Linked DNA regions of Callithrix jacchus. The protein of the gene in region 7 interacts with the protein of the main gene of each other region in a biochemical or structural test. Links are inferred from orthologs where the notes say so. Each region holds a gene or a part of one and is shown on either strand. Other genes may lie near its edges.

Evidence for each region.
Region 1: the proteins of SNCA (region 7) and VAMP2 form a complex in vitro, tested with the Homo sapiens proteins (3 studies listed by BioGRID and IntAct). The link is inferred for Callithrix jacchus from reciprocal best matches to the Homo sapiens genes SNCA and VAMP2.
Region 2: of the proteins of SNCA (region 7) and NEDD4, one has a biochemical effect on the other in vitro, tested with the Homo sapiens proteins (3 studies listed by BioGRID). The link is inferred for Callithrix jacchus from reciprocal best matches to the Homo sapiens genes SNCA and NEDD4.
Region 3: the proteins of SNCA (region 7) and YOD1 form a complex in vitro, tested with the Homo sapiens proteins (2 studies listed by BioGRID, with this or other methods). The link is inferred for Callithrix jacchus from reciprocal best matches to the Homo sapiens genes SNCA and YOD1.
Region 4: of the proteins of SNCA (region 7) and CSNK1A1, one has a biochemical effect on the other in vitro, tested with the Homo sapiens proteins (3 studies listed by BioGRID). The link is inferred for Callithrix jacchus from reciprocal best matches to the Homo sapiens genes SNCA and CSNK1A1.
Region 5: of the proteins of SNCA (region 7) and PLK2, one has a biochemical effect on the other in vitro, tested with the Homo sapiens proteins (2 studies listed by BioGRID). The link is inferred for Callithrix jacchus from reciprocal best matches to the Homo sapiens genes SNCA and PLK2.
Region 6: the proteins of SNCA (region 7) and STUB1 form a complex in vitro, tested with the Homo sapiens proteins (2 studies listed by BioGRID, with this or other methods). The link is inferred for Callithrix jacchus from reciprocal best matches to the Homo sapiens genes SNCA and STUB1.

What each region holds. Positions count from the first base shown.
Region 1 is NC_133506.1:74,637,011-74,641,110, forward strand, and holds the start of VAMP2 (vesicle-associated membrane protein 2), read right to left. Parts: upstream 2,971-4,100; 5' UTR 2,902-2,970; coding exon 2,900-2,901; intron 2,379-2,899; coding exon 2,258-2,378; intron 1,777-2,257; coding exon 1,618-1,776; intron 1,536-1,617; coding exon 1,484-1,535; intron 876-1,483; coding exon 859-875; 3' UTR 1-858. UniProt on the Homo sapiens protein: Involved in the targeting and/or fusion of transport vesicles to their target membrane. Major SNARE protein of synaptic vesicles which mediates fusion of synaptic vesicles to release neurotransmitters.
Region 2 is NC_133509.1:43,627,807-43,631,478, reverse strand, and holds part of NEDD4 (E3 ubiquitin-protein ligase NEDD4), read left to right. Parts: intron 1-1,856; coding exon 1,857-2,057; intron 2,058-3,056; coding exon 3,057-3,137; intron 3,138-3,366; coding exon 3,367-3,421; intron 3,422-3,511; coding exon 3,512-3,570; intron 3,571-3,672. UniProt on the Homo sapiens protein: E3 ubiquitin-protein ligase which accepts ubiquitin from an E2 ubiquitin-conjugating enzyme in the form of a thioester and then directly transfers the ubiquitin to targeted substrates. Specifically ubiquitinates 'Lys-63' in target proteins.
Region 3 is NC_133520.1:34,559,594-34,563,873, forward strand, and holds the start of YOD1 (ubiquitin thioesterase OTU1), read right to left. Parts: upstream 2,857-4,280; 5' UTR 2,692-2,856; coding exon 2,349-2,691; intron 1,376-2,348; coding exon 672-1,375; 3' UTR 1-671. UniProt on the Homo sapiens protein: Hydrolase that can remove conjugated ubiquitin from proteins and participates in endoplasmic reticulum-associated degradation (ERAD) for misfolded lumenal proteins.
Region 4 is NC_133503.1:48,239,621-48,244,059, forward strand, and holds the start of CSNK1A1 (casein kinase I), read right to left. Parts: upstream 2,900-4,439; 5' UTR 2,392-2,899; coding exon 2,269-2,391; intron 1,619-2,268; coding exon 1,512-1,618; intron 1-1,511.
Region 5 is NC_133503.1:151,413,969-151,417,678, reverse strand, and holds the end of PLK2 (serine/threonine-protein kinase PLK2), read right to left. Parts: coding exon 3,593-3,710; intron 3,240-3,592; coding exon 3,142-3,239; intron 2,834-3,141; coding exon 2,704-2,833; intron 2,457-2,703; coding exon 2,216-2,456; intron 2,093-2,215; coding exon 1,963-2,092; intron 1,707-1,962; coding exon 1,596-1,706; intron 1,459-1,595; coding exon 1,267-1,458; 3' UTR 665-1,266; downstream 1-664.
Region 6 is NC_133513.1:2,940,387-2,944,488, reverse strand, and holds STUB1 (E3 ubiquitin-protein ligase CHIP), read right to left. Parts: upstream 2,903-4,102; 5' UTR 2,781-2,902; coding exon 2,622-2,780; exon of another isoform or gene 2,477-2,621; intron 2,183-2,476; coding exon 1,984-2,182; intron 1,899-1,983; coding exon 1,733-1,898; intron 1,666-1,732; exon of another isoform or gene 1,538-1,665; coding exon 1,450-1,537; exon of another isoform or gene 1,286-1,449; coding exon 1,229-1,285; exon of another isoform or gene 1,155-1,228; coding exon 1,038-1,154; exon of another isoform or gene 978-1,037; coding exon of another isoform or gene 956-977; coding exon 830-955; 3' UTR 579-829; downstream 1-578. Other genes in the region: JMJD8 (jmjC domain-containing protein 8), read left to right, coding at 1-3, 91-158, 236-370, 448-528. UniProt on the Homo sapiens protein: E3 ubiquitin-protein ligase which targets misfolded chaperone substrates towards proteasomal degradation.
Region 7 is NC_133504.1:107,752,534-107,756,205, reverse strand, and holds part of SNCA (alpha-synuclein), read right to left. Parts: intron 2,146-3,672; coding exon 2,003-2,145; intron 1-2,002. UniProt on the Homo sapiens protein: Neuronal protein that plays several roles in synaptic activity such as regulation of synaptic vesicle trafficking and subsequent neurotransmitter release.

The DNA.
Region 1 (4,100 bases), on a different chromosome or scaffold from region 7:
ACACTTACATACTAGCTGGGGGAGGGAGAGGGGGGTACAAGAGGTTTGGAAAATGAGGGTAAGGTAGGCAAACTGGACTAGAGGGCTAGGAGGAGGCAATGCTGGGGGCCAGAGCAGCCTGGTTCCCCAAAAGCCCAGGCTCCCACCAACTGCAAGTAATGTCGTGCAAACAAAAATGTAATACAAGTATTAATGGGGACTAACTCCTCAGTGAAAAAAAGAAACACAGGTTAAGAGAAGAGTGATAGAACAAAAAGAAATGGAAAGAGACTGCAGTATGCAATGATACACTAATTAACATGCTGGACGCTCCCAAAGACCTTGGGATTCTTAGGACCAAGTGGGGCCAGTCTCAGAGCCTCCTAATGGATGCAAAAAAGATGCACCTAAGGAAGCCCGGACAGGTGCTTTTCATTTTTTTTTTTTGAGGGCGGAGCACAGGGAGCATGAAGGGGAGAGGGAGGAGGAAAGGAAGGCCAGGGTGGGAGGATGGATCAGCTAAATCTGAGGGAAGGAGGAGGAGAGGAGAGGGACTATTGCATAGCAGATGCAAATGAAGGGACTTGGGGCTAGTCAGGAAGAAAGGGAAAGGAAAGGAAGGCAAGAGAGAGGAGGTGAAGGGAACCTCAGGAAGGGGTGTTAAGGACAACCGGAAAAATCTTCTAGTAATAAAACTACAAACAGACCAAATATATATAATATTATATATGTATAAATAACAGCTGGCTATTTACAGGGGGACACACAGACACACACGGATCCAGGGGAGGGGGACTGAAAGATATGGCTGAGAGGTGGAGGAACGGCTGAGGGTGGGGGGAGAGGCCCTTCTCTAGGCAGGGCAGACTCCTCGGGGATTTAAGTGCTGAAGTAAACTGTGGAGAGAGAGGAAGAAGATAAGGAAGGAGGAGAGGGGAGGAGGAGAGAAAGAGAGAGAGAGAGAAAAAAAGAAAGCAGTGTGTCAGGCCTGGCCCTGCTCCAATCCTCCCCACTCCCCAGCGGGTTGACACCCCTTCCCCTCTCTTGGCCTCAGTTTCTCCATCTACAAAGCAGGGGGCTAGACAGGTAGGTTCTGAGGTCCCTTCAACTCCATGGTATGGCCATGAGGCCACAGATGCTAATCCTCTGAGCCTCTGAGACCACAAGTTCTCAAATCATGGGGTGGTTGTCTTCCTGGTCATGTCTCAAGCCCCTGGGCCTTTCCTTTCTCCCACTCATCAGTTTCAGGGTTCTTGGACTGGGCTCTTAGGCCCAAAGGGTCCTTAATGGATACATCACCTTTCCTTTTTCCAAATGTTAACAAAAACTGTCCAGAACCAGGCAAACTGCAAGCTAAATAACATCAAAGTTTTTGGCTCTAGATGAATCAGAATTGCCATTAGCAGCTACGACTGTTTTTGGCTGAAGAGTAAAACTAGGTTAATGACCTTTAAAACCCAGAATCTACTGGGGGAACCTCCCCGGCCATTCCCACCCTACTCACCTATGATGATGATGAGGATGATGGCGCAAATCACTCCCAAGATGATCATCATCTGGGGATGAGAGGGAAGGATCAGTGAGACGAATCATGATACTCCATTCACCTGCCAGTCCCCTATCTGTCCCCACCCTTACCTTGAGGTTTTTCCACCAATACTTGCGCTTGAGCTTGGCTGCACTTGTTTCAAACTGGGAGGCCCCTGCCTGGAGCGCGTCTGCACGGTCATCCAGCTCAGATAGCTTCTGGTCTCGCTCCAGGACCTTGTCCACGTTCACCCTCATGATGTCCACCACCTGGGAGAGGGGCCCACGAGGCAGGGGGGTGTGCCAAGGCCCACCTCAGTGAGGGCAATCCTCAAACATGTGCCCACCATGCCATGCATGGAACATGCACCCTGATGCGCCAGGTTAACATGCCAAGGACACACAGAACATGCCTAGCACACCTGGGGACATGCAAGGAGCACACATCAGGGGCATGCTGCTGACATCTCAGATGTCACAGCAACACCCTCTCTCTATGGAGCCCCAGGCGCTCTGTCCATCACCAGAGCACACCTGCCCAGGCTGGCACACCCCAGGCTAGCAAAGCTGATTAACATCCCTAGTGCCCTTCCAGGTGCGTGCTGACAGGGAGACAGGGATGGGGCATGGTATCTTTGTCCGCAAACCCACAGGTGTGAAATGTCATCACTCCCAAACCAACATGGGCCCCTACACCTATATGCCAATCCCCAGGGTCTTTCCTGCTGCCTTTGACTTCCCCCACACTCACCTCATCCACCTGGGCCTGGGTCTGCTGCAGTCTCCTGTTACTAGTGAGGTTTGGAGGGGGCGCAGGGGGGCCACCCTCCCCAGCTGGGGCGGCAGGGGGGGCCGTGGCAGCAGTAGCAGACCTGAGGAGCAGGGACGGATTAAGATCCAGGGCCTGGAGCCTCCCGGCCCCACAGCCAGGGCTCCGCCCATCCACCTGTCCATCCTCGTCCCTCCAGTCCTCCTTTTCGGGAGGAAGGCCACCCGATGAAAGCCCTGGTCTCGGTCCAGCCCCGCCACCAATGGCTGCGTGACCTTGAGCGAGCCCCCCTTCCCCCGGCCTCAGTTTCCCCGCCTGTCAAATGAGGGCGACCTCATAGATGCGATAGGGGTCGACCCGAAAAGACAGGCGGCCGCGGCGACAGGGGCGGGGCGGGGCAGGAAGACACCGAGTCAGCTCCTTCCCGCGGCCGTCGCCCGAGCCGGCCAGCCCGGGACGCGGGGCTCCTCGGCCGCCTGCGCGCAGTCACCGGCTTGGGCCTGGCCCCGGGTCGTGGGGAACGCGGGGGACGCGGACGAGACCCCGGGCACTCCCCGAGGCCGGTTGCCAAGGGCGGCGGCCGGCGCGGGGAAGCGCGGCGGGGGTGGCGGGCAGCCGACTCACATGGCGGGGGCAGCGGGCGGAGGACTTGGCAGCGGCAGTGATGGCGGCAGCGGCTCGCGCTGGCTCCGACTGGCGCTGGCTGCCCGGGACGGGAAGATGGCGGCCGCGCGTCACCCGCATCCGGGCACTGCAGGCGGGGGCGGGGCTCCGCGGGAGACGCATCGGGAGCGGGGCCGGGGGCGGGGCGCTGCCGTGTTGGGGTCGTGCCGGGCGGGGCCGCGGGCCTGGAGCCCCAGCGCCGGGGTAGCTCCTTCACCACTCGAGGGACCCCAAGGTGGACTGTTGCGGCCTCCCCAAACCCACCGCCACCCGCCTCTGACCACAGCCTCCCACAGCCGCCCCCAAACTCTCCTTAGTAAGGACACACTGCAGCCCGACCCCACACCTAAGCCCCAGACCACCCCCCGCAATCGTGATCCCAGTAAACCAGCCAGCACCCCACACAGCCCAAGGTCTCTCCCCGCGCCCAGGCCCCAGCACCGAGCGACCCGCCTTCAGCACTTGGAATGGGCTGGGGTTGGGAAATCAGAGGGAGCTAGTGCAGATGCTGGGGCAATGCCAAGAGCGGGGACCCTGCTGCTCGGGTGGTGGGGAGTGAGGGAGGTTAGTCCCACCCCATCACCCCGCTCGCTGGTGGATGTCTCAGAGGAAGCCTGGGGTCCCTAGCCACTGGGTAGGAGGGTAGGAAGAAAAGATGAGGCAGGCTCTTCCCGCCCAAACTAGTCCGGGGAGCGGGGGACGGGGAGTGTCTACAGTAGGTGAGGAGGGGGCTGCCCCGCCTCACGACTGAAGTTCAGACTAGGGGTACTTAGTTGCTGGAGCAGGGCCGACGGAGGTGGGCTGAGGACCCCAAGGAGGAGGAAACAAGGCTGCCGGGAATGGTGGGTTGGTGGGGGCTGCTTCACGTGGTAGGTTGCTGGCTGGCCAAGACCTAGCTTTGCCCCAGGCTTGGGTCAGCGACCCCGACTGCAGGCGAGGGCTCAGGCTTTGGTCCCAGGCACGGGACCTGGGCCAAACAAAAACAAAAAAAGCCTTTTTCTCTCATTTTTTTCTCTTTAATAATAGGCACAGGGAGAACAGGTTACAGGGTGCTACTTTACATGCGTATTCACCTCGCAGGTGTGACCTTGGACAGTTGCCCTCCTCTCTCTGGACCCCAAATATATTGCACATGTAGGTACTAAATTCCTATTTTTTAAAT
Region 2 (3,672 bases), on a different chromosome or scaffold from region 7:
ACTCTCTAATATATACAAATTACCACTTGTTATTATATAAAACAAGTTCAAATGAGAATAAGAGGAAAAAGCAAAAATCTGGTCTTTGTGTATTTTTATAATTTGAATAGTTAAGATCATTATTTTAACTAAAACATAATCTTGGTGATTGGTATCTATTAAAGAAATTAATGCTGATAACACCTCACCCTTGGCAACAGTTTCACCTGTAATAGTTCCTTTTAAGTGTTTAGCAAAATATTTATTTTCTCTTGTTGCCATATCTCTTGTTGAGAAAATTTTTAACACTGAAAAGTCTAGAAGATAATGTAGCAGATACACATATTCTTTATTCAGAATTACCATCATTAATAAGTTACCATATTAATTCCTAGAAATTTTATTTTTAAAAATAAAGTCTTGGCCGGGTGCAGTGGCTCAAGTCTGTAATCCCAGCACTTTGGGAGGCCGAGGCGAGTGGATCACGAGGTCAAGAGATCGAGACCATCCTGGTCAACATGGTGAAACCCCATCTCTACTAAAAATACAAAAAATTAGCTGGGCATGGTGGTGTGTGCCTGTAATTCCAGCTACTCAGGAGGCTGAGGCAGGAGAATTGCCTGAATCCAGGAGGCGGAGGTTGCGGTGAGCCGAGATAGTGCCATTGCACTCCAGCCTGGGTAATGAGCAAAACTCCATCTCAAAATAAAATAAAATAAAATAAAGTCTTAAAGATTAACCTAAATTTCTTTTAGCCAAGCTCTTGGTTCCGTTCCCCAGGGGGAACCACAGTCTTGAATTTGTTGTGTATTCTTCTAGCATATTTTATATACTTAAAGAGCTTAGAAAATGTAAATTAAAATATGCTGGGTGCAGTGGCTCACACCCATAATCCCAGCACTTTGGGAGGGTGAGGTGGGCAGATCACAAGGTCAGGAATTCGAGGCCAGCCTGACCAACATGGTGAAACCCTGTCTCTACTAAAAATATAAAAATTAGCTGGTTGTGGTGGCACGTGCCTGGATCCCAGCTACTCGGGAGGCTGAGGCAAGAGAATTGCTTGAACCCAGGAGTCACAGGTTGCAGTGAGCAGAGACTGCACCATTGCACTCCAGCCTGGACAACACAGTGAGACTCCATCTCAAAAAAAAAAAGTAAAATATTGTTTATATGCCTGTGTTTCTAATTTTGCAACGAGGGAACACTCATTTTATAGAATGAGGTGCTGCTCGATTAAAAAAAACCCTTTTTTTAATTGATGTTGTGGCCCCATAAGTCTACATCTTTTTTTGCTTAACACTGTTTTAAAGCTCTGTGTTGTTATTTATAGATGCAGTGTATTTCTCTTAACTACTAATATTCCATCATATGACTATATTACATTTCAATTTCGACTTCTGTGGTAGATATTTGTCATTCATTTTGTCTGCCTGACATTTGAATCTACTTCTCTGTATGAGGAACCCCCCATCCTATAAGTTTTGGGAGAATAAAGACAACCTCCTACTATAGGCACCATAACTCCACTTGCAGCTAGGGCTTGAGCTTGTGGACCTTGCTCCCTCAGTCAGATGCACCCACAGCAGACTGTTAACTGCTATCTCACTGCTTGAGAATTAGTTGAGAAATTATAAATTATTATTAAAATCAAGTTTGACAAAATAGCTTATTGGAAAAATGTTATTAAATGTACTGCATTATTAAAATGTTGGGAAAATATTAATATGCCATAACTACATTTGAAAAAGAACCTCAAATGTTTAGAGTCTCTTTAAAGGAGGATGTGTATTGCATTTGCAGGTTAAGTTACCTTTTTAACTGCTGCTATTTGTGAGTTCTCTATAAAATATTATAATATGATTTCATAAATATGCTAGGCCACAGTGGAGACCAGTCAGCTGACATCAAGCCAGAGTTCTGCTGGCCCTCAGTCACAAGCTTCCACAAGTGATTCAGGCCAGCAGGTGACCCAGCCGTCTGAAACTGAGCAAGGATTCCTTCCTAAAGGCTGGGAAGTCCGGCATGCACCAAATGGGAGGCCTTTCTTTATTGACCACAACACTAAAACCACCACCTGGGTAACTCTGATACTCTTCCATTTAAATTTATAACAACAATAATCATCTCTTATGTATAGTTCCTTATCATCTTTAAGTGTATATTAGTATAACCTATGTTTTCTAGGATTCATTGAAAAATATATTGAATTCTTAATAATATTATTTATATTCAGGAACACACTTACCCCTCTTTTTAATATTGTTTTGGATTATGATGGAGATACTCATGTTTACTTCCTGTTTCCAGTTGTTAGCCCACTAGCCATAAATGCTTAGGAAGATATGTAGGAATAATCCTTTGCTTTTATATGAGGCTTTCTAGCTCCAAAAAACTTTTGAATCCATATCTCAATATCAGAAAACCTTGCGAGGCTAGGTAGAGCAAGTTTTTTTTTTAAGGTAAGGCTTCAAGTTGTTTAGTGCTTGGCTTACCACTAGAAAAATTGCTCAAAATTAGCAGCAGATGAATAAATTTTAATTAATTATTAAAAGACCAGCACACCTTATTAATAATATTAAAGTAAAAATATATGTAAATTAAACCAAATACATTGAATTTTGTTCACATTTTTAACATTCTGAATTGACCATTAATAACCTCTTTGGGCTTACCTTCCTGTTATTCAAAAATATGAATCAACTTGAACAGATAGCTGCCAAAATGCATGTTCTGGGACTTAGAAATATCACGTGGTCCAATTTAATGCCCCACTCTTTTACCAGTTTTTACGTAGAGAAAACCCCTATAGAGTGACACATTTCCTAAAGAGCAGGCAAAGAGGTGACCAGTTAGCGGTGATCCCTGAGAACTGATCCTTATTCCTTTTGATATTATAGCCTGAGAGTGATAGATTTCAGGAGAAAATATTATGTCACATATTTAGGAAATAAAACACGAAAGGACTTTTACAAGAGAATATTTCAAACGTCCATTGATATTGGAAAACATGGTAATAGACTGACTTTCATTATTTTGAAATGTGTGTGTGTTGTTCTTTATTTACTCTACCACAAAAGGAAGATCCAAGATTGAAAATTCCAGCCCATCTGAGAGGAAAGACAGCACTTGATACTTCCAGTGATCTCGGGCCTTTACCTGTAAGTGTATAGAAATGCTAACCTCTCTTACTTGGCTATCTCAAATATTTTGTATTTTGGGATAGAGTAGTTCTTTATCAGCCTAATTAATCTTATTATTAAAATGTTGATACCTTCTAAGAATGGAATGGAATATGCAATTTAAATTAACCATACAATCAGTGCTATTTTTCTATCCATACATCTAAAACCCTATCCTAAAATAATTGAAATACATTCTTCATTATAGCCAGGATGGGAAGAGAGAACTCACACAGATGGAAGAATCTTCTACATAAATCACAGTATGTTCAATGTGATTTTTCATTATGTTATTTTTTATAATAAATTTTATATGTGAGAAAGAGCATCTTTTTTCTTTTTCTACCCTTCAGATATAAAAAGAACACAATGGGAAGATCCTCGGTTGCAGAATGTAGCAATAACTGGACCAGTAAGTCTCTTTGTACCAGTGTGCTCTGATGGGACTGTCCTCTCACCTGTCTCTTCAAGAGCAGATAGTCAAGGGCATAATCCTACAGGCATTGAGAGGAGA
Region 3 (4,280 bases), on a different chromosome or scaffold from region 7:
TAAGCTGCTCAGGCACCTTTTCCCTCATACATTCTACTTTTTATACACTAGATATCTTAAACAGGGCACAATCAGTTCCTGTTTTGTGATAACATTCTCAAGGGAAACTCATCCCTGTAAAAATTGCTTGTGATGTACTTATCAGTGGTTAAGCACACATTTATAAAGTCTACCAAATTGCAATATAAAATCAGTTTGGACAATTCTGAGTATCTTCATTTGATGAATCAATTCATAATTTAGAAACTTAACTCATTCAGTTTTTAAAACGACTCAGTTACTGGAGACACTGGTAAATGTCCAGTGGCCTCACAGGCCTTCCACATTACCCAGAATGTGATGTTTTCTTCTAAAAGTTAAAGCTGCTGGGTGCTAGTTTATAATACTAAATCTCAATCTTCAGGTCAGTGTCAGTAGGTGGCAAGGATCACCTCTGTCACTCCAGCAGAAAGAGGCATGTATGTACAGTCTACCATTGTAGACACACATCTGTAAACTTGCACACTAATTTTAATCTTAACAAGGAATTTCAGTGTCTTAGTGGTTTTAAGTTAAAAGGATGGTTCAAGCATTGTGTCCTTTTGTTCTTTAGGGTTACAATAGCTTATTGGAAAACCCAGAGCCTTCTGGATCTGTGAGGTAGTAGGCTTCAACCCTCATTCATGCAGAGATCACACTTCTCCAAAGTTGGTATGGCCTGTCTCCTTGGCATGTTCCCTTGCTTCTGCTTGTCCAGTTAATCCTTTCTGACATACCATGCATCTCAGGGTGAAGCGGTTGACATCAGTAAACTGTCTCCTTTTCCTAGCTTCATCTGCTAGTTCCAGTGCTTGTACGAGAACGATATCATCATTAGAGGAGAAAATGGTCAGAGGAGGTGTGTCTGGATCGGGGAAGTTCCGCTGAAGTGGATCATAGTGGATGCCGTCATAAATAAGCAGAACCCTTTTGGTATATCCTGCATCTTCCCCAAAACGATCAATTCTTACTGTCTGTGTATCCACTACACATATTTCACATTGGTAAAACTTGGACAAAATCGATATCTCTATTGCTCCTCCCCAAGTGTCATCCCTTTTGATCCAGTCACAGTACTCTTGATTTGTTTTTCCCAGTATTGCCTCACTATAGAAGTCTGGATCACTTGCTACAATTTGTGCTATGAGGCGTCTCATCTCAGGAGCACAAGCTGGATTCAAGACTCCTCCTTCAACGACATAGTACACACTGGTAAAGAGGCAAGAGTTGTCTGCTGGGACCACGGTTCTGGCAAGCACAGGCAAAGTTTCCCTGACGTAACTAGAAGCACCATGTTTAGTAAGTGAAGGTGAACTTTTGGGCCTGGTTTGGTCTTCTTCAACGATCAGCATGTCACCTGTTAAAAAAAAAAAAAGAATTCAGAACTGCAGAGAAATTACAGAAGAAACTGAAGTGTTCACTAGCCACGTCTGTAAATTACAAACTGAAGGAGTTAAAGCATAAACTGGGGTTACTAAGAAGAATACAGCTTTGCAAATAAGTGACCAGTAACAATTTTTATTCACTGAATTTTCATAAAGATGAAAAAAGAACAAAGAACAAAAAACACTTCAGATTGCACCCCAATTTAGTCAAGGGGTCTAGAGTATACAACTTGAGGCTTACTTAAAAAGATATATTCAAAAACAAAATTTCATTTCCTTATACAGTATCTTACAGAAGGTGCTCACTACAAAGTAGGCCGCTAGGGGGTTCTCCTTCTCCGGAAAATTATCTACTCTATCGAGTGTTTACAGCGTCCTTGATACAACTGGAAGCTTTTAATTATCAACACTGATGTTCAAGTTTTAATATGGCACAGAAATAAACTGCTCCTGGTTAGAACTTGAAAGGGCTTTCAGTGGGTGTCTAAAAGCTAACTCTAAAATGAATATGCCTATCAAACGAAGTATCTATGAAGGCGACCGCAAAAATGAACCAAGAAAAAAAAAAAATCCTGCACCCTTAAGACCTGATCGATGATATAGGGAAAAAGAGACATAAATAAGGACAGAGAAAAGAGGCCCTACTTCTTTTTATTTTTGTGAACGCCGAGGGAAAACAAAATCAGATAGTTTCAAAGCCGACCAGAAAGCGGATTGGGTAAGGGGGACTTCAAGGCTGTGGGTTGCTTTTCAAGCCTGTGTAAAGACCAGGAGTTGCTAGACACTTGCCCCGGCTTGCGTCAGAGTTCTCTGTTCTTTGATCTATCCTCACCCCTGGTCTCAAAGCCCCAGTTGACCCACAGCCACCGTAACTAGCTTTCTATTCTCTCTCACGCCCCTCTCCGTCCTCCCGAGACTTTACTGGCCCCAGCCCTGATTCCTTACCAGATTGGATGGGCAAGTCCTCCAGAATGGTATCCCCATTGCTGAGATCCAGGCACTCGGGAGGGTATCCGACGAGGATTCGCTGACCGCCGGGGGCGATCCCGGTGATGGCGGCAATTTGGCCCTGGAGTTCCCACACCCTGGTCCGGCTGGACAGCCCCTGCAAAACATGGGTGCCGTCCTTGGCCTTGCAGCGGAGCCGCCACATCGTGTCGGTCCGGCTGCCCACAGGCCAGACACCCTCGGGGCCAGCTTTGGTCCCGGCAGCAGGTTGAGAGTCGCCGCCGGGACAACCAGGAGCCGGGTGGACTCCAAAATGGCGACCTTTAGCGGGGCCAAACATCGCGAGAAGTTGCGCGTGGTTCCAGTTCTCGCGACGCTTCGAGCTCTGCTTCTGCCTTAGCACCTTAGCAAGCGCGAACACTTTTAAAGTGATAACAATTTTTTTTCCCCACCCTCAGAACGAAGATGTAAACCTCCGTATTCCTAAAGGACAACGGGTCTTGCTACCTGTAGAGCGAGTGAGGTAGCATATATGCTCAAAGAAGAGGGCGGGGGAAGGAGTTCCTGAATGAAGCCGTGGAGATTGGAATGTGACCTGGCACTTAATGAGGTCGGAAATTATTAAATCGGGGCTTCCACACTATACCCAGACTACACCAGGAGAAACAGAATCATAGCTCACAACGCAAATGAATGCCAGGAATGGTCGGTGAGTCAAAGGACCAGTCAAAAACAATCCTACTTGTGACTAGACTCGTGGCTGCATTAAACATTGACTCATTGGAGTTTCAGGGGCCAAAGGACTGACCTTTCCACCTCCCGAGACTGTGCTTGAAAACGTCTATTTGCTACATCAGAAAGCACAGTCAGCATCTGGGCACAGGGCAGTTGCCTTATTCAGGTGGTGGCAGTGTAAGGAGGAGTCGTGAAACAAGTGTCATCAGATTCCAGTTCAGTTCCTGGGCATAGAAATATGAAGACTTCATTCCTGCCTTCAGTGTAACAAGTATTCATTGCGACTGAGCGAGAGGGTGGAGTGTGAGACACACAGCCACTGAATTTCAAAGCAACGTGACAATGCTAGATTACGTGTACCTTTTCAACCATGTATGCCTAGAACCCAGGACTTTGCCTCGTAAATAAAAAGTGTTCAACAAATACTTGCGAATGAATAAAGACAGAGTTGTAACACAGAGAGGGCTACTAGAGCGCTCTGGGAGTTGTAAAAGCCTCAAAGAGGCGATAACTATTTGAACTTTAGGAAGAATGAATTTAATTCCTAGGCGAAGGAGGAATAAAGACATCCGTGAATTTATATTTGTCTTTTTCAAGAAATCCATACTCATTGTTCTTTATACAGCCGGGATCCAGACAGCAAGTCCCACCTGCCTAGAGTGGGTTTATCAAGCATCAGACGGGCCCGCTGGGGCAACTATGAAAAGTGTAGTTCACGTGGAAGGTGCAAACTCATCTCCTGTAAAACACTTAGCTTCTGAATAAATTATATGTAATCTTTTCACACCTTTAATGACTCAATTTTTTTTTCTGGTGCAATTTTCCTCCTTGGTTCTTCAAGACGATCACCACAGATGATACAGCCTGGGTTGGGGGCAGGTAGGAGGGAAAGTAGGAATGGTTAGAAGCCCACTGGGGTGTATGGGTGGGTCCAGGGAAGCTTCTGGTTCAAAGATGAGAGTAGTTGATTTTCTTAGGGTACAGCTTCTGACCTGTGGAGAGGGATATGTAAACACCCTAAGGTATAATCAGCTCAAGTGTTGTGGTAGTTTATTCTAGAAAAAACATCTTCATAAGCCTACGTTCCCATTTAGGGATCTAACGAGGTTGTGCTGGGATTCAGGAATGAGAGCGTTAATTCTTGCAACACTTTCTCATCATCCAAAGTACACACTCCCTCTCAAGGCGCCTACT
Region 4 (4,439 bases), on a different chromosome or scaffold from region 7:
TCACACCTGTAATCCCGGCACTTTGGGAGGCCGAGAGAGCAGGTCACGAGGCCAGGAGATGGAGACCATCTGGCTAAGATGGTGAAACCCCGTCTCTACTAAAAATACAAAAAATTAGCTGGGCGTGGTGGCACCAGCCTGTAGTCCCAGCTACTCTGGAGCCTGAGGCACAAGAATCGTTTGAACCTGGGAGGCACAGGTTGCAGTGAGCAGAGATCGTGTGACTGCGCTCCAACCTAGGTGGCAAGAGCAAAAACGCCATTTCAAAACAAAAACAACAACAACAAAACAAAAAAAGAGGCTCCAGTAAACAGTAAATACCATTCTCAACTATTCTGAAAATTTTTGCAAATTTTTTTTTATTATCGCTGGAAAACAGCTGGGTTTTAAACTACATTTTAGTCTCTATTCCATGAAGAGGCTCTTTTAATCCCTAAAGTCAAAACATTACTCTAAAACCCTCAAGAGTTGACGGAACAATGTATTTCTATCTCGTCACCTTGTATCCTCATTACCACTATTTGTATCCACCAATATTCCACACCAAAAAAGGCCACAATTTCTCTGATGTTAAAATTTACTGATAAACTCAACAGGTTAAAATTACTTATCAAAGTGTGGCTAAGTGATTAAGCTCTCTTTTAATAAAACTGAGCTGAGTAAATTTTAACATGGTGGTGCTCAAACTGCCTCTGCCACTATCTATACAAATTTAGTTTGGACTGAAAAGTGACAAACATGACCATTCACTAAAGGAAAGAGTAATTAACACTTTTAAAAGAACTACAAAGGATTTTACATAGTATAATTCAACAATTTCGTATCATATCTGCTGACGAGATCACAAACATTGTCACTATGCCATGTCCTTCCTGGAACCCCACTGGCTCCTGCAGCTTTATTCTTGACTTTTTCAAAGGTTTAAACCACTTGGGGCTGCTGAAGGAGGTATCAAGGAAGCATAATTTGTGAACCCAAGCTGAGAAAAGGGCAGGAATATGGGGTTGAGTCACGTCGTTCCGCCATTTTCTAAGCGGAGGAGGAAGACATGTTGGAACAAAAACACAACAAAAGAGCAGCCATTTCCCAAGCCAGCTCCAATAGCAACCCGAAATGACACTGCCCTGTCGCTTCGCCACCTTCAAATCCACTTCACTGAGCAAACCTCTGAACACCAGACATGCCGCCGTAAAAAAGGCAGCAGTCAAACCTTCCGCGTAGAGATCAAAGATGACCTGCACACTTTACTGCAAATGAAAGCCTCGGGAAGAGGGAGAAATGACGGAAGCGAAATGGGACACAGTGTAATACAATGAAATTTTAAACTAAGTTAGCAAACTGAAATTTACTCAGTGATTGCGATAACTGACTTACAGGAAGCCACTAGCTGTAGGGAACCCAGGTAACTGAAACACCAAGACCTGGATTCAGCTGGTCTCCTTACCTGCCTCTACCCACTTCCCCATTCCGTGCTTCCCTCAGCAGACCGCCTATATGCACAGGGTTCTTACCGTATGTGGGGGATGCCAACCCCACCTTGAAGAATCTTATAGAGCTTGCTCTCGTACAGCAACTGGGGATGCCTGGCCTTCTGAGATTCTAGCTTCACTGCCACTTCCTGCAGGGGAAAGAGGGATGATGGCATCAACATCCCTACGGATTCAATGTCACTTAGGAAAGGAGGGAGAGACATTAGCAAAACTCCAAGTCGCGACTACAGGGAAAAAGCGAAAGACTGGAAAGAGAAAGCTCTCTGTAATTATAAAATGAGGCAACCAGCCTCTTCAGGGGGTAGTGACGAAATCCCTACCTCTTCTAAAGTGCAGGAAAATGATTCATCCAGAAAAAAAGAGGCAACCTCTGAACGTAATGAGAGGTTTTTAAGGAACTAGGCGATCGGAAACTGTTCTAATTGGAATAAGAGGCCAGCAGAATTAAAAATAAAATAAAATAAAAGCATGGGAATCACAGAAATAGGATTTTGCCGTTTCCACCTTAAAAAACGGTTAAAAAAAAAAAAGTTCAACTAAGGGACATTTATGGGACGTGTTTAACAAGCTGGGAACCTTCCCCAACCTTTCTATCGGGTTCTTGATCCTTTTAGGGAAAGAGCGGGGGAGGTTCAAAAGCCAGGAAAACTAGCTCTCTGGACTCCCTGACGAGTGCGTGCGGTGGGGAGAGGCCCAAGCACTTTAGGGGTGCGCGGTGGTGGGGGCGGGGAATGAGGAAATGCCCAGCGTTATCGTCAACCCTACCCCAGGTGATTACCTCGCCGTTGGTGATGTTGATCGCCAGATAGATGTCCCCGAAGGAGCCAGACCCGATCTTCCGTACCAGTTTGTATTTCCCTCCGACAATGAATTCGGCCTTGGAGCCGCTGCTGCTCGCCATCCTGAGAGACGAAGATGGAGGCTGGGGCCAAGCCCCGACACCTCTGAGGGGAAGACGGAGACCTCTCGAGCTCCTACACCGGGCAAGGCTACGGAGGAAGGCAGCAGGAAACGGAACACAGAGGCCTTTACCGGCGTTCGGGGCCCAGAATCAGCCGAGGGGAACCTGATCACCACCGCTCAGTCAGGTTTCTTTTTGCCAGGCCGCACTTTGTGAAGGGCTTCTCGCGGCTACCAGGCTGGGCCACTTGTTCTCGTTGGCGGCCGATGCCTGCTTGAGCGGCGACGTCGCGGGCAGGAAAAGGGGCGCGGTGAGCTAGGGCGGCGATACCACTGCCAGCACTGCTGCTGGCTCCGGCCCGGAGGGACCCCTGTCACTCCGCCGACGACGCCATCTTGTTACTCCAGCTCCAGCCAACACAAAATGCCCCCAGTCCCCGGGAGCCGCTTCTTCACGGCGCAGAGCACTCTGGGAAAGGGATCTCGGGCGCTCGCTCCGGAGGATCTGCAGCCAGAGGGAGGGCGGAACCGGATCCGTGAGAGTCGCGGCCCACGCTCCAAGCGTCACCTCGTCACCGCCCAGCTGCGCATGAGCACTGTAACTCCTGCTGACTGCGCAGGCGTGCCGCGGCTGGTACTCACCCCGCCCCAGGCTCTCTTCCACTTCCGGTTGGCGGCTGTTCAGCCGGTGCTACCTGTTACCACGGACCCGCCCGGACCCGCCCGGTCTCTGGAAGGCTGAGTGGCCTCAGGCACCGATGTCAGGGAGAAGTCACCTTCCCGTTTCCTAACAGATAAAAGCTTCAGGCCTCCTTAGGAGTTTGGTATTGACCTTTGCTCTTTGTTTCAGGAGGTTTTTTTTTTTTTTTTTTTGAGACGGAGTTTCACTCTTGTTACCCAGGCTGGAGTGCAATGGCGCGATCTCGGCTCACCGCAGCCTCCGCCTCCTGGGTTCAAGCAATTCTCCTGCCTCAGCCTCCCGAGTAGCTGGGATTACAGGCCCACGCCACTATGCCCAGCCAATTTTTTTTTTTGTACTTTTAGTAGAGACAGGGTTTCACCATGTTGACCAGGATGGTCTCGATCTCTTGACCTCGTGATCCACCCGCCTCGGCCTCCCAAAGTGCTGGGATTATAGGTATGAGCCACCGCGCCCGGCCTGTTTCAGGCGGTTTTTAATCTTTGATCTTCTGGCCGCTCCCCCCGACCGGCCTATTGCAACCAAGTTTCTGTTTGGAAAGAGGCTATCGCCTCTGGTGGAGAAGAAGAGAAAAGCAGCCCGCGTATCGGGCTGATCGAATCGTTCAGGGCTCTCGGTTGTAGCAAAGCCCAGCTAATTACCCTTCATAAATAGAACTGTGTTCTCTACTACGGAGTGTTAGAGACCCTGTTTGCTCAGGAGGGGAAAAAAGAAGCCGGAATCCTCCTACCGTCCTTTGTCTTTGCATTATTGCCCCACTACCACATTTGATCTTCATGAGAAAACCGGGTATCTTGCCATAATGAAGATTAGTAATAGGTGGAATCAACAGAAAATTAACAAGAGTGAAAAAACTGTTCTAGCCCTCCTCCCAATCCCACCAAAAAAACGAAAAAAAAAAAAAGAATCATATGTTGGTCATATGGAAAACCTCAATATTAACCTTAACATATAGCAGAGGTAACTGTCGCAAAACATAATTGACAACATTTAAAACCATATGGTAGCCAGGGGCACGGTGGCTCACGCCTGTAATCCCAGCACTTTGGGAGGCTGAGGCGGGGGTATCACGAGGACAAGAGATCAAGACTATCCTGGCCAACATGGTGAAACCCCATCTCTACTAAAAATACAAAAATTAGCTGGGCGTGATGGCAGGCGCCTGTAGTCCTAGGTACTCAGGAGGCTGAGAGAGGAGAATCGCTTGAACCTGGGAGATGGAGGTTGCAGTGAGCCAAGATCATGCCTCTGCACTCCAGCTGGGTGACAGAGTAAGACTGTGTCTCAAAAACAAAACAAACTACACGGTAATTTTTTTCTTTTTACTAAAAATAGATCAGAGAATGAAA
Region 5 (3,710 bases), on a different chromosome or scaffold from region 7:
AACAGGATAAGCAGCTTTCCTTTACTACAGCTGTCAAGGAGTAGATCCCACTGAAAAAGAAAACCTCAGATTTACCTCTTAGGTAACCTAACAGTTTAAAAGATGGGCCCAAACTGTAAGGTGGTTCCCATACCACTCCTCAACTACCATGCACCAGAAGGAATATAAAATGACTTATTCACAAAGTATTCCTCACTACTGGAATTAAGTGCTAGTACTGCCTGCGGCACTGGAAGTGTTTAGGCAGGTTTATGCTGAGTAACATGTTTAGCTGGTGCACACATTCTAATTCAGAGTTTTGCCCATATTAAGATAAACTTCCTGTACCTATTGACACTTAATAACAGACATCTGTTCACTCTGGCTTTATCTCCAAGCTAAGCAAGTTTTGAAGAAACACTTCAGAGAGAAATTGGATTTGGATTTTGTAGAAGGCTTATATTATGGTCGTAACTAGAATGGTGTTCCTATGCTAGATTACCCTGAACATTTATGATTATACTTCAGGTATTAGACATCCTAGAAACTGCAGTTAGAAAAAAATTGAAGCTCTGAATTTCTAGTATGCTTCTATCCTCAATGGCTTCTTGGCACTGCTTGGCATGACCCTATCAAAAAATGCCACAATGTGGTGATGAATTCTACCAAAGACAGGAGACCATTATTTCTGCTTTTTCATACTCTTTATTGCCAACAGTTTAAAATGATCAACATAAAAAAAAGACATTTTGATAATAAATACTGCTCTTTGGGCTGTAATAAATAAAAAGTTTATTAACAAGGAATGCACTTTTCCAGCCACAAGTATCTTCAAAAATTAATGAAAAAAAAAATTATATATGGCCATAGTTCACAGTTACGCAGCCAAAAGCTGCTCCAATTACAGCCTTTAAACAACATGGGAGCTTCCTCCCTTCTCCCTCCCCTTCAGGAAGTATATTCACAGTTCCAAGTCCTCTGGCTGAAATGCTCTCAACAGAGAGAATTTAAGAATCAATGCACCTTTCTGCAAAATTTTCTAAAAAAACCTGTTAAAACAGGTATCTCAAGGAAAACTGCATTCTGGTTCACTCGTGGATTATCCAAAGTCAAGAACTGGATGCCCTGGCCTGTTCTGGTTCCACCCAGTCCAGCAGGCCACAAAGGAATTGTTTTCGTACCACCACATGTCCATCTTCTTCAACATGCTCTAGATCATTCTACTGGCTTCCCTGTAGATCTCACAGTGGAAAAGAGGAGTCCCATAGGGTCTGTTCAAAAAGTCTTTTAGTTACATCTCTGTAAGAGCATGTTTAGGGCATATTCCATTCGATTTTTTAATTCTGATGAACAGCCAGACATCAGCAGAGTTGTCAATCTGAAAGTTGTAGATATCCTATCCTCATTGATATAAGTGAGAAGGTATTCTTCATTTTGGCTACAGATGATTATTTTTGTATGATCATGGTAGAAATTCACCTTAAAAAATAAACACAAGACATTAGATCTCTCAAAATAGTCAAGAATTAGAAAAGTTCAGTCAATTACTAAACTGCCTAGGTACAAATCTTTCTGTTTAGGACCTAAATGTGCACTGTCCTGCAGAGTTCACTTACCTGAAAGGTGCCATCATTAAAGAGCATCATCAGGGCCTTATCAGATTTTAGCCACTGAAGGAGGTAGAGCCGAGGTCTTCGAATATCAGTAACACTAGGCAGATCTCCACCCTGGAAGAGATGAGAGTGAGTTAGTGCCTACAAAGATTTTGTAGCATGTATTCTATTCTTATTCTAAGAAAACCTTTTCAAACTTAAGCATCAGAATGGCCTTGAAAATCCCTGCCTCCATCTCCCAGAGATTCTGATTCAGTAAATCAGGGGTAGGACAGGCGAATCTCTAGTTCTAACACTTCAAAGTGATGCAGATGCTATTGGTTTGTGGACTACCCTTCAAATGACACCACTCTAAAGCCGCAAAACTTACATCCATTAGGTTCTCCTCCATGTAATGAGAAAAGTATTTCAGCACCGTCACTTGACTAATAAATTGCTCAGGAGCATCTGTTGCTGAGAAAACTGAGCACTGGCCAAGCTCTGCGTAATAGTGAACTGTTCTATAAAAACAGGAATGACAGGGAGAAAAGAGGGAAAAAAACAGAAGTAGTTAATCACTGTTTTTACATTTCTTTAGTCCAAAACTAGAGAACTGACAGGATTTCATTAATCAATACACTTACTTTTTGTCTGGAAGGAGGCTCATATGAGCACCATTGTTGAAAAGGACACCCACGGTGTGGTCTGAGAGCTGGTACCCAAAGCCGTATTTGTTAGAGTAATCAACCCATTTGGTGACCCATTGAAAGGATGTGCTCAGCTGTTCTTTGGGAATGCAGTCAGCTTCCGGCATGTTTTCCAGACATCCCCGAAGAACTCTTGCCACTGTGTCTGCAACACTTCCCATAGTGCTGTCTTCAAGGCCTAAAACAGTCAGACAGAAATGTTTTAAGGTAAACAATATTTTAGCACTAAAACCTCAGGCTTTGGTAGATATTAAGTTTCACTCCATTAATTCTGAAGACATAGAACTTAGGATTATTTTCCAATTCCTATAACCTTGCTACTTCTATGTGAAATTAAGCTACAATGTAAATTGACTTAAATTATTATGTATTTAGCACTGGCATTTAGAGTTTCATTATTTAAAATGAGATTGACAACTACTTACATTCACTGCTGCTGCTGCAGCTACCAAGAGTCCCTCTGACTATCATCCGAATAGCATCCCCAATCTGCTGCTTGTTTTCTACTGCGGGTGTTCCAGACCTGACAACTGTGGTGGTAGGTGGCTGGAGCTCCTAGGAAGAAAGAAAAGTTATGCAATGAGTCAAGCATCAAAAATATTTAAGGCTGAGAATTCCAGATTAAGACGAGGGTGAGGCAGCTGCTGTGAAAGCTTATCAAAAACCAATGGACACAAGCCAGATAAAAGATAAAGCAGTAACTCACTTGCATGCACTATAAAACTAAAAGCCAATAATTTCCCTTTCAACGGGTTTGAAGAAAAACTTGAGGTAAATATGGCCATGATAATCAGAGTTCAAGTGCTAATTCATAAAGAGTGGAAATAACGTAAAGCATGAATATCTACTCTTCTCCAACCCACCTCATCTGTCCTGTGTTTGCTGGGTTGCTGAGTTATTGAAGTCTTTTTCAAATCATGCCTAAGCTTGTAGATGTCTTCATCTTCTTTAGACACTCGATCTGTATATCAAGGAATAAAATTACAAACATTAGTCTATCTTAACAAGGAAGGAAAAGGGTTAGCCACATTTCCTCATTCTTGCATTATTCACCAGCTTATAAGCATCCAAGGCAAAATAGCATTTTACCTTTGCCATTAGCTGCAACTACCCCAAAAATCCCTCTTTAATGTTTGTAAAATAAAAAGCTATCAATCACAATTCAAGTTGTGGATTTATTAAGCTATAAATATCAACATTTAAGAATCTGTGAATCTGGCTAGTTATATTAATATAAAATTCCCTTTTAACTGATGTACCAAATTTAAATATGATATTGTGTACAAAAAAGGAAAAGGAGTGTTATTAACTTACTATGTGTGTCAATATATCTTGCTTTGTCTTTTTTGCCACCAAAAAGAGCAGCAGCTGCTTTCTTAAAGAAATTCTTAGCTGGGCTCGATAAGTGAAAATCTGGAACTGTATGACAACA
Region 6 (4,102 bases), on a different chromosome or scaffold from region 7:
CAGGTGGGTGCTCCTTGGGACTGGGGAGGAGTGAGGCTTCTGAGAGTGGGTACTAAACAGGTGGGTCACTAGGTGCTCGTAACCCCACAGGAGCCGGCTCGGGGGTGCCCTTCCACTGGCACGGGCCTGGGTACTCGGAGGTGATCTACGGCCGTAAGGTCAGCCCAGGGTGGGTGTCGGGGCTTGGGTGGATGACCCAAGTGGGCAAGGGTGACGCTGCTGCCCCTGCCCACAGCGCTGGTTCCTCTACCCACCTGAGAAGACGCCAGAGTTCCACCCCAACAAGACCACGCTGGCCTGGCTCCGGGACACATACCCAGCCCTGCCGCCGTCTGCACGGCCCCTGGAGTGTACCATCCAGGCTGGTGAGGTCAGTGGCTGGCAGGAGGGACCGGGCCAGGTCAGAGGCCCGCAGCTGATCTCGGCTGCACCCCCTTCCTTCACCAGGTGCTGTACTTCCCCGACCGCTGGTGGCACGCCACACTCAACCTTGACACCAGCGTCTTCATCTCTACCTTCCTTGGCTAGCCGTGGCAGCCGGCAGGCACTCCTGTCACACAGAGCACTTCTTCCCCAGCTTGTGCTCACGGATTTTATTACACAGACGGTGGCCGCAGCCCAGCCCACCCTCACCTGCTTTTCCAGCCCAGAATGGGGGACGGGGAGGATCACAGCCCAGCAAGAGCTATGCTGAGAGGGGAGCCGTCCAGAGCCCAACAGCAGAACTGGGGGGAAGGGAAAGGGTGGCCAGGGACACAAGCTATGTACAGGGGCTGGGGGCTTCTGCCCGTGGCCCTCCGGGGCCAGGACACTGGGCAGGGCGAGGAGCTCAGTAGTCCTCCACCCAGCCGTTCTCAGAGATGAATGCATCAATGACCTCCTTCATAGCCAGGTTGGGAATGAGCTGTTCCTGCGTCAGGGGGCTCCGGGTCACAGGGTCAAAATGGCCTACACGCTGCAGTGACAAGAGGCAGAGGCTGCTCAGCAAGCCTAGGACCCTGCTGCTGGCCCTGCCCACCCCCTGGCCCCAGCCTCACCTGCAGGTGCTCCTCGATGTCCTTGCGGTCGTAAGTGATGCCACTGGGTGTGATGCACGGCTCCCGCATCAGCTCAAAGCTGATCTTGCCACACAGGTAGTCAGGGATGTCGCGCTTCTGTGGCACATGGGCACAGGGTCAGAGGCTGGGAAGGGGCTGCTCCAGGACCTACCACCCACAGCAGCACTCACCTTCCTCTTCTCATCCACCTGAGAGAAGAGCTCATCCATGTCCGCCATGTATCTGTCCTGTGGAAAGTTGAGCAGTGCTTGGGAGGGACACCCCACTTCCCTCCTCCGTGGTACCCAGACCCAACACGAGGCAGGGACACACAGACCCACAGCAGGGTGGGGACGCTCCCGTGCCACGTGTGCACACACACAGACCCACATGTGGATGGGGGCACCCTCACGTGCTTGGCCTCAATGCAGGCCTGCTGGGCCCGGACGTGACTGTCGTCCTCGTCACCCTCGTGGTTCTGCTGGCACTCTTTCAGCTCCCTGGGGGATGACCAGGAGCCCGTCAGAGACGGACCTGGCCAGAAGATGTCTGACCACACCCCAGACTCAGGGCTAACATCCAGGCTTCTTCCCCACATGCACTGCTCGCCAGTAAAACTTTCAGTAAACATTCGTGTTGGCGGTTGGTTATTCAGAATTATCCCCAGACAGCGCGGCCTGGGGTAAGGGTCCCACCTCTCACGCTCCGCCGCAATGAGCCTCGAAAGGTAGGAGTGCAGCTCACTCTCCTGGTGGATGCGCCGCTCCTCGATGCTGTTCCAGCGCTTCTTCTTCGCGATTCGCAGAGCGCTGGGGATGTCGTCCCCAAAGTTCAGTCGCTGCTCCTTGGCCAGGCTGTAGGCTGGGGAACAAGGGCTTCCGGTCACGCTGGCCAGTCCAACCGCCTGGTCCCAGGGGCCCCGCACCCAGGCAGCTTGTCGGCCAACCTCGCTGCAAATTGGCGATGGCCTCATCATAGCTCTCCATCTCCAGCTGGCACTGCCCCAAGAAGAAGTGCGCCTTCACAGACTGCCCGTCCAGCTCCAGGGCGCGCCGGCAGTCGGCCAGGGCCTGCTCATGCTGCTGCATCTTCAGGTAGCACAGGGCCCGGTTGGTATAATACACGGCCACCAGCGGGTTCCGGGTCTAGGGACCAAGGCCGGGCCAGCCGCATCAGGCGTAGGCTCAGCGCGCCCCCTCTGTCCCAGGGCCCGTCCCAGCTTCTGCGATCTGGCTACGATCAAGAACCTAGACCTCTCAGTAGCCAAAGCCTCTGGGTCCAAGGATCTGCAGACACGGGACTACTGGCTGAGCCTACACACCTCACTCCGGTTGGTTCTGTAGAGTTTTCCAAATCTTTGGAGAGTCCCAGCTTTGGACCCTGGCCTCCCACCCACCCGGCCGGCCTCCATCTAGCATCCCACCCTCGTTCCCCGGCACCTGGCGCTGGGATCGAGAACCAATGCTGGGCTTTCGGAGCCCAGGATACCCGCCGCGGAGGAGCCAGACCCTCGGCGGGGCCGGCCGATCGCGGGCGTGGCCCTCCGACTCGCCGTCGCCGCCTTCCCCACGCGGGCGCACTCACGATCGCGCGGCCGTAGCAGGCCGCCGCCTCCGGGTACTTTCGGCCCACAAACAGACGGTTGCCCTGTTCCTTGAGCTCCTGCGCGCTCGGGCTCTTCTCCGGGCTTCCGCCGCCAGCGCCCAGCCGCGCGCCGCCCTCCTTCTCCTCCTTGCCCTTCATGGCGCCGAGCGGCACGGCCTGGGCTGCGCTCCCAAGCTCCGCGCCTGACGGCCCTGCACCCGAAGCCCGAGCCCGAGCCCTGCAGCCCGAGCCCACGATCAGCTCGGGCCCGGCCCAGCTCCGCCGCCGGAACTTCCGGCCGGGGGCGGGATCGGCGGGGACGCAGGCGTCGGGGGGCGGGTAGGGCCGCGCGTGCGCCCAACCAGCCTGGGCGGGGACAGTCGGCCCGCGACGTAGCTGGCTGCGAGGAACGCTCCGGTTCCCTGGCCCCGCGTTTTTCAGGGTCGGCATTCGCGGAGGCCAGCCCCGCCCCGCCCCGCCGAGGCCTCTCCAGAACTGGCCTCGGTGGCGGCCGTCCCATATATCCGGTTTTCTCCGTGAGGTGCCTCAGCCTTGGTTCGCTGAGGGCGTGCTTCCCTAAAAGCCTGTCCCGCCCACGTGGGATTCCGCCCCTGCCCCAACCCGTAAAGACCCCATCTGCAGAGGTCCCGCCCCCAGCAGCCCGCCCCGCCCCCAACAACAGGCCGCATCTGCGGCGGTCCCGCCCCCGGCACCCGCCCCCACTCCCAGCACCTGGCCCATCGGCAGAGGCCCCGCCCCCGCAGCCACCCCCATCGGCGGAGGCCCCGCCCCCAGCACCCGGCCACGCCCCCATCAGTCAGCCCCGTCTGCAGAGGTTCCGCCCCTGGCAGCCGGCCCCGCCCTCGGGGGGGGGTCGACTCCGTTTGCAGAGGTCCCGCCCCCAGCAGCCGGCCCCTTCCGCAGAGGCTCCGCCCCTGAGAGCCGACCCCTCCCCTCCACGTAACATGGCGGCCTCCCACGCGCTCTGGGGCTGTGGGGACCCCAGCGGCTTGCTGGGCTGCCATCCTGGAATGCCACCGAAAGGTGCTACGAGCGCGCGCGGGCCCCCGAGAGCGGCTGGAAGCCGTGGACCGTTGGTAGACTGGTAAGAGATAAAGGGATCCGTGGGGCGAGTGTCCCCGTGGCCGGACCTCCCCTCACCCCCTTTTCCAGGTAACGGGAGGAGTTGCTGGCGGCCATCAAGGGCCGAGCGGAGAAGCACGTGACGCGAAGGGAGCTGGAACGGCTGTTAGTCTAGAGGCTGCCGGTGGGGTGCGGCCCCGCCTCCTCGTGTGCGGGGCCTCCGTAGGGCGGGTCTTCAGGGAGTGGCGTCGGTGGGGCGGTGCTTCCTCGTGGGCGGGGCCTCCTAGGGGCGTGTCTTCGTGGGGGCGGGGCTTTGTCGTGGGGCGGGGTTCCTGGAGGGTCCACCACTCCAGGCATCCTGACCTGGCCTCCCACAGAGAGGCCGCTTTTGGCCATGT
Region 7 (3,672 bases):
GAGTGCACTTTTTTCTGGGAAGAGGGTCCATAGCTTTTATTAGATTGTGAAAAGGGTCTGAGACACAAAACTGGTTAATTGATTGTGTACTAATTTAAACTGAGGTCCCTCTTACCTTGTGAAATCTTACAAAGCTATAAATAGAATTATAATTTTAGATGAAAACCAGGACTAAAATTATTATCCCTAATAAGATCATTTGAAAAGCATATTTTGTACAAAGGGGTACCATCATGACCAACAATGCATTCAAGCATTGGCTGAAGAACTTCACTAGAAGCCCAGTCAGGATTTGCCATAATTAGCATTCATCACACCAGACAATAGACATGTAACTACATGTACTAAATTTAAATATATCACAGATATTTTTGTTCTGCCTTTTTATTATAAGTGCTTTAATGGGCTATCAAGGTAAGACTGCTACCTAGGATTACATGAAGTGGAAACAACTCAGAATAGTTTGCCAGCAAATAAAACTTCTTTCTCACAATTTTCAAGATATTCATCCAAAATCATTTTGGTTGGAACTAGTGGATGGCTGAATAGCACTGTTCTTATACTAAGCATACGATTATAAAAGACGCAGAAATAAAAGTCATTCTGCTTACTCACTTATCTCCTTCCTTCCTTCCCTAATTTAATAAATGTTTGTAAATTGTCTAGTACAAGTTGGAAACTCTCCTAGACACTTGTGAACTATCAGTAAAAAATGTAAATATATTTCACTCTCATGGTGCCTACATTCTAGAAGGGAAAAATAAAATAAACAACATACATTAAAGTAAGCATATTATTTATTGTATTTAAAGGTGATGAACACTTTGGCAAGGAAGGAAGGAAGGAAGGAAGGAAGGAAGGAAGGAAGGAAAGAAAAAGACTAGGGAGACTGGGCACACCAGAAGGAAGGAAGGAAGGAAGGAAGGAAGGAAGGAAGGAAGGAAGGAAGGAAGGAAGGAGGGAAGGAGGGAAGGAGGGAAGGAGGGAAGGAGGGAAGGAGGGAAGGAGGGAAGGAGGGAAGGAGGGAAGGAGGGAAGGAGGGAAGGAGGGAAGGAGGGAAGGAGGGAAGGAGGGAAGGAGGGAAGGAGGGAGGGAGGGAGGGAGGGAGGGAAGGAAGGAAGGAAGGAAGGAAGGAAGGAAGGAAGGAAGGAAGGAGAAGGAAGGAAGGAAGGAAAGAAAGAAAGAAAGAAAGAAAGAAAGAAAGAAAGAAAGAAAGAAAGAAAGAAAAGAAAAGAAAAGAAAAGAAAAGAAAAGAAAAGAAAAGAAAGGGACTAGGGAGACTGGGCACACCAGAGGTGAGGAGGACACCAATTTTACATAGGTTAGAGCTAGTTCCATTTTAAATATGGAACCTCATATTGTATTAGTTCCATATTTAAAATGAAAGTTATAATATCTTTGGTAAAATCTTATTTGTGTCCTATATTTGTCAAAAAAAATTCAGTCAAAATTCTTCTCAGAATTTTAAAACTTACCTCAAAAGTATGATCTCTGATTGGTATGTGTTTTAAGTCTCTCAGTTCCCACAAACATGTATTTGGTAATGAACTGTTAAGTAATATGCAAATATGCCATTTAATAAGAGATGATGTCACTATAAAGAAATCAAGTAAAAGAACTCTATTTTGGAAATTAAGAAATTAGGCACAAAGAGATTTGTTATTCCAATGAAGAGAAATTTCAAGACTTATAGTTAACATGAAAGCACTCATTCTTTCTGAAATGTCACACTGTTCCTTTGGCATTTTAATAAATTGTTTGTTTCATTAGCTTTCTTCCAGAAATTGAAAAAATCATGATAATTGTACCATTTGCATGGCGTTTATCTGGGTTAATGCCTGAAGAAAACAAGACCTATATAAAGGTAGCACTTTTTCACAACGGGAGGGTCAGGTAGCCATTTCCCACAGTAAGCATCTTGCTCCCGCCTCCAGGCCTCACATGAAAATGAACCATGATCTCACCAGCTTGTAAATGTAACACAAAGTGTACACAGCCATACCTTGCCCAAGTGGTCCTTTTTGACAAAGCCAGTGGCTGCTGCAATGTTCCCTGCTCCCTCCACTGTCTTCTGGGCTACTGCTGTCACACCCGTCACCACTGCTCCTCCAACATTTGTCACTTGCTCTTTGGTCTTCTCAGCCACTGGTACAAATCAAGAACAACAACAGATTAAAGGGTGGTAGAGTAACACTGACTTAAAATCATTCCACTTCCACTAGCCATCAACTTCTATACACCTGTATTTACACATGCCAAAGACAACTGAGGGGTCAGAAGAAACACAGTAACCAAGATTTCCAAGTCAGTGTGGTTCAAACAAACACTGAATCTTGGCTAAGATGTTTTTGCTATAATCATGCAGTATTAAAAGTGCTTCAAGTTTAATGATCAGGAATGTAAAGCCATGAGTGATTTGGATTTGCTTTATCCTAAGGAAAGTTTAGAGAAAGCAACGCTTACAGGTGCAGTTATAGTTGAACCAGACTCAGTATGAATACTTCATTATTTCAATTCAGTGTCAGTCCTTTGATCTCACACAGCAAGTTTATTTCCATCACACCTTCTTAGCAACACAGTACATACTTCTGAGCTTTTTTATTTTATTATTATTTTTTTGAGACGAAGTTTCACTCTTGTTGCCCAGGCTGGAGTGCAATGACATAATCTTGGCTCACTGCAACCTCCGCCTTTCAAGTTCAAGCAATTCTCCTGCCTCAGCCTCCTGAGTAGCTGGGATTACAGGTGCCCTCCACCACATTTGGCTAATTTTTAAAAATATTTTTATTTTTAGTAGATACAGCATTTCACCATGTTGGTCAGGCAGATCTCAAACTTCTGACCTCAGGTGATCCACCCGCCTCAGCCTCCTTTACAGGCATGACCCACTGCGCCCAGCCCATACTTATCAATGTGTTCAGACACGGTATTATCACATATATATGATTAATAGTATAAGAGATGGCTGTGAAGGAACTTGGATCTTTTTATAGAACTTCAGGTAGTGAAACAGAAGTGTTCTTAAAAAGCAAAATTTGCAGTTATTTTGATAGGCGCAAAGGAGCTAGACAGTATGAAAATGAAGAGGCAATTGAGCACCCTAACAATTTCTTTTCATTAAAGAAAATGTGATATGGTCATTCAGTAGATTTATTTTAGAAAGTTAATGTTTTAGAAGACAATGTAAATAATTTGAATTGGGTTTATAAGCGGAAATTTAATGTCATGTCAAAAATTCTCTTGTTCAGTGAAATCAGCCAGAAACAGAAAGGCAAACACCACATGATCCCACTTATGTGGAATCTAAAGAAAAAAAAGAGTTGATATCATAGAAGCAAAGAGTATAACAGTGGAGGCAAGTGGAGGATGGGGACAGGTTAGTTATATTCTTCCTTAGGTGCTCGTCTAAAAAAATGAAGGCACATTTTCTTGATATGCTTTGTACTCCCCAGATAAGCCACAGTCTGAGAGGAGTTACACCATGTCAGCTGTTTAGTGCTATTCACATGATTACTGTATAGCTTTCATCTCTCCAGTTGAAGAAGCCCATAGTTAAATGGTGTGGGCAAAGCAATTTGTTTTCAAATACATTATGTATGTCATAGAAGCTAAAGGTCTGTAAGGACAGGAGGCTTTCTCTTTAATTCAGGCAATGTGGGGAAGCCTGCCATA